Linked DNA regions of Cricetulus griseus. The protein of the gene in region 1 interacts with the protein of each later gene in a pairwise test. Links are inferred from orthologs where the notes say so. Each region holds a gene or a part of one and is shown in the gene's direction. Other genes may lie near its edges.

What was found.
Region 2: the proteins of Ndor1 (region 1) and Ciapin1 interact in binary tests that used the Homo sapiens proteins (3 or more experiments, as listed by UniProt). The two-hybrid records come from large-scale screens. The link is inferred for Cricetulus griseus from reciprocal best matches to the Homo sapiens genes NDOR1 and CIAPIN1.

Annotation. Positions count from the first base shown.
Region 1 is NC_048599.1:136,606,687-136,610,972, reverse strand, and holds the start of Ndor1 (NADPH-dependent diflavin oxidoreductase 1), read left to right. Parts: upstream 1-1,486; 5' UTR 1,487-1,545; coding exon 1,546-1,680; intron 1,681-1,959; coding exon 1,960-2,037; intron 2,038-4,286. Other genes in the region: Tmem203 (transmembrane protein 203), read right to left, coding at 793-1,203. UniProt on the Homo sapiens protein: NADPH-dependent reductase which is a central component of the cytosolic iron-sulfur (Fe-S) protein assembly (CIA) machinery.
Region 2 is NC_048596.1:171,047,156-171,050,655, reverse strand, and holds part of Ciapin1 (anamorsin), read left to right. Parts: coding exon 1-125; intron 126-2,399; coding exon 2,400-2,473; intron 2,474-3,500. UniProt on the Homo sapiens protein: Component of the cytosolic iron-sulfur (Fe-S) protein assembly (CIA) machinery required for the maturation of extramitochondrial Fe-S proteins.

The DNA of each region.
Region 1 (4,286 bases):
ATTCCATCTCAACAAATGATCTCATTTGGCACATGATTGACATAAAATCAAGACCTTAGGTCAATAAACTCAAGCTGTTCACAAGCTCTTATGTGTAAGTATCCATTTCCATGAGCATGTGAGCGCCTCTTCCTGTCTTTGGTCCCTTAGGGAGGTCTGTCTGTCACAGTGTATTAATGATGCCTGCCACAAGGTGGTGGGAAACTCCGTGAAACTGTAATCTGTTGGGCCAGGAAACCAAGCAATGTCTTGAGACCAGAGTTTTTTCTCAGATTGCAGATAAACACACTGGGTCCTATTCATGCTTTGTTTTCAACAGTCTGCTGTCTCTATGTGGGATGGAATGAAAAAAGGCTATTCTTCCCCAGGACAGAGAAAAGTGACGCAAGCTCTGTTAGATTATCAATTGTATAAAGAAGTCTGGCCTGGACCGATGGAGGGGTAAGCTCTGAGTGAACAAGCTGATTCATAAAGGGGTATATCACCATGGGAAATATTCAGAGCCTATCAGGATAGTTTACGTATATGCAGTTTCCAAATGTCATAAAAGTTCAGTATTGTCTGGCAACTCAGAGCATGAGTAACAGGAAATAACTTTTAATAATCGAGGCTTCACTTTTAAGTTTTGCTGAGGAAACAATCTTAGATATAGAGAAAACTGGACAGTAAACGGGGCACAAGCAGACACGGATTTCTGACCAAAGCTTCTCCAGTGTGGCGCCAAGTAGGGTCTGGACTGGATGACCCAGCACTCCAGCTGCGCAGTGCTCCATTCCCAGCCCCTGCACGAGGCTAGTTGACGCGACAAGCCCGGATCATGAGCAGCTGCAGGAGAATGAAGACCGGAGACGTGATCAGGCCGAACCAGAGCTCTCGAGTCTGCTCCACTAGCTTCTGGCACAGCAGCATCTCAAAGACAAACTTGAGGCTAAGCACTGTGAGAACCCAGAAGAGGCGCAGCACAGCTAGTCGCTTCTCCCCGTCTTGGAAGAGGCGAACAGACACGATGGTGGTGAAGTAGGTGCTGAGCCCGTCGGCGGCGAAAAACGGCACAAACACATTCCACCAGGAAAGGCCCGGGGCCAAGCCGTCCACTCGCAGTGCCAAAAGTACGGAGAACACCAACAGGGCCAGCAGGTGCACGAAGATCTCAAAGGTGGCGAAGCCCAGCCACTGCACCAGCTCCCGCAGCGAGAATAACATCGCGCCTGTTTAATACCGGCCGGAATCCGGCCGACGGCGCCTCGCACCGGGCCGTGCCCGCTTCGTCCGAGGGCCTGGCTACCGCCTGCTGCCGCCGCTGCACACGCGAGGCAGCAAGCGGTCCAGGCCGGCCTGGACCCCGGCCCCAGCGCACCGCCGCTCTCCAGACCTCGAACCCGGACCCGGAACTGGATGCTAGCGAACGCCCGCGGCCCAGAGCCAGCCCCGCCCACCCGCGCGCCCTCCCACCTCGCACTGGCGCAGCCTAAACACGTCATTTCCTGTTGACAGAGGAAAAGGGAAGTTAGTGGTGTGTACTGTTCTGGCCGGCGTGGTGCGGTGATGCAGGTTCCGCAGCTGCTTGTGCTTTTCGGCAGCCAGACTGGCACAGCCCAGGATGAAGCGGAGAGGCTGGGTCGCGAGGCCCGGCGCCGGCGGCTAGGTTGCCGCGTGCAGGCGCTCGACTCTTATGCGGTGGTGAGGCTCGGGTGATACGGCGGAGACCCTCCCCCGAACCTCGCGTCCTCGAACGGAGGGCGTTTGAGTGCTGCCCTACGGCCCAGGCAGATTTAGGGGAAAGGGGGCTTGGCACGAGGCTGAGGCCTGAAAAAGAGAAGGCCCGGTAGCCACTGGGAACAAGTCTTCAAACACTTTACTCTTGTTACCCTATCTGAATGGGGTGGGTTGGGAGCGATGCAGGGAGGGGACTGACCAGGGCTGTCAGTCCCTTACGCATACCCGTGTCTTGTCCTTGAGGCGAATCTCATTAGGGAGCCCCTGGTGGTATTTGTTTGTGCGACCACAGGCCAAGGAGACCCTCCTGACAACATGAAGGTAAGACTAGCCTTATTTGTACCCTCACCCCTTTTTCATTGCTGTGAGAGCCCCTGGGTGCACAGGAAATAGCTGGCCTTCAGTGCATGTTGTATATGAGAGGTAGCTTTGAGGGATATTCTTTGAGTGGATCTGGGAGAGAAATAGCTCTTAATAGACACTCAGTAGCCTTGATTTCTATTGTTTAGCCATTTTGTTTGTTCTCCCAGACCTACATGGGAATCTAGTCTGAGTCACGTGCTGAAGTTTAACGTTTTTAACATTCAGAAAACATTCTTTAATTTTTTTTCTCAAGCATATATATTCCTGGCACCATCTGGGACACAGCAGCCACGTTTCTCCTTCATGGAGCTCAGTGGTGAACACAGCAGGATTAATGGCCAGTTACCAGGAAAATACCAGATGCCAGATGTTCTGGGGGGGGGGTGGTCATGGAATAAGACACAGCTGTTTGGAAGAAAGGAGCACACCTTTAATCATAGCACTTGAGAGGCAGAGGGAACTCTGTGAGTTCTAGACGAGCCTGGTCTGTGTAGTGATGTCCATGTTAGCCTGACTACATAGTAAGATCCTGTCTCCAAAATAAATAAAAGCCAGGGGCAGGTGGTGGTAAGAAGCAAACTGAGTGAAGGACAGGAAGTTGAAGATTCCCCAGCCACAGACTGTGTTGGCAGAAAGAGGGAAGGAAGAAAGTTTCATTCAGAAGATCTGGGTGGCACAGTGAAACACCTGGGCTTCAGATGAAAGCTACAGAAACTATGGAAGTGACACAGTAGCCACCACAGTGTAGCAAAATCACCATCTGTCTGAAGGTGGCAGGAGTAATGCCAGGGAATGCACCACCACAAGTAAAAGGTGTTGATGTGGTCTGAGGTGGGTGGTGGCACAAGGCAGAATAAAACAGGCACATTCTAGAGAGGCCAGAAAGATAGAGTCATGAGAGGAATCTAGAATACGAGGAAGGACTGAATCACAACACAGCAAACAGGATACACTGTAGTTCCACCTGTGGAGTGAGTGGAATCTGGTTGTGCAGGGGCCAGGAGATAACCCAGGAACTACAGTTAGCTGTGTAGTACTAGAAGGGTCCTAGCATGAGAGTCACTGTTAAAGCAACCAAAATAAAATCATGAAAAAACAAAGCCCCTGTCTACTCCAGGACTGCCATCTAGCATGGTCATGGTCAGACAGGAGGAGTTTCCCCTTCCCTAGGTCAATGATAAGAAGGTGGGAGTCTTGAGAGGAGTAGCAGCCATCCGAGGTGAAGCAGAATAAAAACCAGTCTGGAGAGGTGTCCCTAGGGTCAGTGGTGATTGCTAAGGAGAGCAGTATATGTGGGATAGAGACTATAATCTCAAGCACTAGAGCTGGAGAAGCTAAAATAGAATGAGTTCAAGGCTGCCCTCACCTACATGACAAGTGTCTTAAAAGTTCAAAAAATATCAGCCAGATATGGTGGCATTCAGCCATAATCTCAGCATTCCAGAGGTTGAAGCTGAAGGACCATGAGTTTGAGGCCAGCTTCAAACTTGCCTCAAGCAAAACCACACTTTAAAAATAAATTAACTAAAAAAAAATACCTAAGAAAGTGCCAAGGAGGTGAAAGATAGAGATCTCCCTCAGGTTTGAGGTGTTCTGGTCTATGGACAGATAAGGTACCCAGCACCCTCACCTAAGAGTAGGAGTCAGTAGTGTCTGACTCAATCATAACAGGAACTGAAGACCTTTGAAGAAGCTACAGACCCAACGCCCAAAAACACATGCAAGGGCATGTTCTTGTAACAGATGGTCTGCTGAACAGGAAGGCCTTGGCCTCTCTGCCCTGATCTTTAAAACACATTGGAATTATAGGAAAAGATCCAGTAACTGGGTCTCTGCCTATCCCCTGCTGATGAAACCTGCTGTGGGACAGGCATGTCCTGGAGCTTTTTCATCAGCTTCCAAGTACAAATAGGTCACACACACACTCACACACACACACACACAGAGAGAGAGAGAGAGAGAGAGAGAGAGAGAGAGAGAGAGAATGAGTGAATGAATCTGCTAGAGTGAAGACCCCGGTGACAGGCAAGTAAAGGCACATAATGGAATGACAAGACTACAGCCCAAGATAGCGACCCCATCTTAGGAAGGGGCCTACTGAGGGCAAAGGGCAGTCACAGAGTATAGGGTTAACTACTGGGGAAGAGCAGCATGACCTGATGGCCAACAGGACAGAGGGCAACAATAGGTGCCACTGGCTTCTCAGC
Region 2 (3,500 bases), on another chromosome or scaffold:
TGTCCAGGAACACCTGGGCTACCACAGTGACAGCCTGCTCTCAGTTCGTATCACCGGCAAGAAGCCTAACTTTGAAGTGGGCTCTTCCAGCCAACTTAAGATTTTCAGCAACAAGAAGTCTTCAGGTAAGACTAGCCTAGGGACATTCTATGTGGGTGGGCCTGAGGAGCATGTTAGAAATTGAACCATGGGGGCTGGAGAGATAGCTCATTGGTTAAGAGCACTGGCTGCTCTTCCAGAGGACCTGGGTTCTATTCCCAGCAACCACATGGCAGCTCACAACTGTCTGTAACTCCAGTTCCAGGGAATCTAGTATCCTTACACCAATGCACATAAAATAAAGTTAAATAAAGTATTTTTTTTTTAAAAAGAAATTGAACCATGATCTAAATATTCTTAAACTAGTCCCTTAATTTCTGTCATTTGCAAATTGCAGAGTGCTTACATATTAGTATCCAAACCTGAAACAATATGTAGATATTTCCTAGTGCACTGAGGTTTTGGATGCCTGAGTCACTTGTTTAGTTGATGAAGTCTCTTCAGGCCCTGAGAGGATGGGTTTATCCTCAGAAGACCTTTCAATGGTGGTAATGGTGCACAGGTTCCCTTGTTCAGTTTCCAGAGGGTAGGGGTGGGTTGGTGGGTCTGTCTGTCTGTCTGTCTATCTTCTCCCTCTCCCCTTCCCGCCTTCCCTCTTTCCCTCTCTCTCTCCCACTCTCTCTCCTCTCCTTTTTTTGAGATAGGGTTTCTCTGTGTAGCCCTGGCTGCCCAGGAACTTACTTTGTAGACCAGGCTGGGCTTGAAGTCACTCAAAGAGATCTGCCCACCTCTGCCTCCCGAGTGCTAGGATTAAAGGCATGTGCCACCCCTGCCAGGCTCTATGCTTATAAAGTCACAAAACTTATTTCTAATGATTGCTTGCTAGTTTGATTTGTGCATGTTTTGTATATTTCAGAATTTTAAAAATGTAATTAGTGTTTAATTTTTTATATGTGCTATGGCCATTTTAGCATACCTTTTTAAATTAACATTTTCATACACAACTTATTGATACAGAAAAGTGGTTTTTGTCATGACACTTTCATAAGCATCATTGTACCTTGCTGCTACAATCCGCTGCAGATGCTATTTTAATGTTTCTGTCAAAGCTGTAATTACAGCTTTGTTGGATTGATTTTGATGGACATCCTCCAGAATACGTCCTGTTGAAATGCTTAAAAACAAAACCTGTGTTTCTTCTGCTCAAAAAATTGTGTGCATGTTTGTGTGCACGCACACGTTACTCATCTCTCATCCTTCCTATTAAAGTTTTCTCTTGTCCCAATTGTTTCTTGGCTGTGAGGAATGCATAGATTCAACGGATGTTTGCTGGCATATCTATACTGCATTCTTTTGCTGTCTAGCCTCAGTCTTTTTCTTCTGATTTCTCAAGACAGGGTTTCTCTGTTTAGTCCTGGCTGTCCTGGAACTAATTCTATAGACCAGTCTGGCCTCGAACTCACAGAGATCCTCCTTCCTCTGCCTCTCAGGTGCTGGGATTAAAGGTGTGTGCCACCACTACCACCTGGCTAGCCTCAATCTTGAAGTACTTTGACTTCAATTTCTGGTCCTCACTTCTCTGCCCTCTGAGTGGCAGTAATTAGAAGCCCATGTTCTCAACCCTGGCCTCAGAAAATACTTGGACCTTGGTTTTCACAGTTCCTGGAGGGTTGGGACAGCTTAGATCAGCAGTTGACCTTGTGGACATTCTGAGCATCAGCTGTGGCAGTGATGATCCTGGTTGTGAGCTTACCTAAAAGGCCTTACTGAGGATTTGCCCCTCTAAATCCCCAGCCCTGAGGCTCATAGATTTCTTTCTGGTGTCCTGACCCAGATGGAAAATGTTCTGTCACTGACTTACCTGGCCACCAACAGCATTGGAGTCTGTTTTCTTACATTACAGGCTTAAGTGAGGCTAAATCTTTGTTGTTTTTTTTGAAGTTGTTGTTACTTCTCTCATTTAATTCTTAAAATACCTGCAGTAGGCAGAGGGAGTGCTATAACCCATGTTACAGAGGTGTAAACTCAGGTAGCAAGGAAAAGGCGGCAAGGAATGGAGGTTGTAGCCTCATATACCCACAGCTATAAAACTAGAATGGCAGGCACCTCACAGGGTTCTTAGCAGGGCTAGGTGAGATGATGGAAGCGCTGGTGGAGGCCTAGCACAAAGCAAACATGTGATGCATGCAGACTATTTTACTGTGTGGAGCTATGCCTTTTGTTCATAGTGGAGCTGAGTGTTGAGCCTACCCTCTCAGTCTGTCCAGTCATTCTCTTCTAGTCTCCACACTTGCTGGGACTTGCTTGTGGTTTGCTTCCGACTGCTTAAAGAGTTCTTTTTCTTTTATGGTTGGACTCAGTGAAGCCTGTTGTGGATCCTGCTGCTGCCAAGCTCTGGACCCTCTCAGCCAATGACATGGAGGATGACAGCATGGTGAGTTGGCTGTGTAGTCACTTGACTGTTCCTCTCAGACCTAGAATTAAGTGTAAACAGCTATAGTGAGAAATGGCCTTAAAGTTTTTGTTTTGTTTTGTTTTGTTTAATTTTATGTGTATGAGTGTCTGTCTGTTTGTGCTCTATATGCATGTCTGGTGCCTTCGGAGCCCAGAAGAGGGTGTTGGATCCCTAGGAACTGGAGTCTAGTTGCAGGTAGTTATCAGCAGCTGAGTGGGTACTAGAAACCAATCCCATATCCTCTGCAAGAGCAGAAAGTACTTTTAACACTGAGCCATGTCTCCAGCTCCCTGACAGTGGCCTTTTAGGTTTGTAGGTGTGAGTGAGTTTAAGGCCCAGCATGTAGCAGTGCCTGACTTTGGTGTCTTTTATTAGGACATTCCATATTAGTAGCATTTTGCATTTTTTAAAAAGTATCTTTCTTCCCCTCTACAGATTTTCTTGTCTTCCCCTTACATGAAATAGTAGATTCTTGTAGACATAAACCAGAAAAGAATTTGTCAGCTGAGATAAGGCCTCTGTCTAGGCACTTGAATGTTCACTGAATGAAATTCAGTGCAAGTCATTGAATGCTCACTGTCTTAAACTCAGTGTTTGCACCTTTGATCTGCTATATCTATAAGAAAATTAAACTGGGCTGTGGCAAACACCTTTAGTTGTAGCACTCAGGAGTCAGAAGCAGAGTCACTTGCTCTCAGAATTTATAGGTATAGCTGCTTTCACATTTGCCAAAAAGTTCAAATATATGTATACTTATTTTATATTTATAATTATTTACTTTTATTCCTCTAGAATTTTATGGAAAATATTTTACTTCCTTTGACTTTATTCCCATGATTATTCACATGTTGAAATAAATACAGCACTTTTCTTCATTTCACGTGCTGCCACCCTCACCATGAACACACATGAGCACACACACGCACAGAGTCTTCCATGGACCATTGCTCTCTTCAGCCTATGGCAGAGTTGCACAGCGGGTGTAGCTTTGCCATTGCCTTGTGTA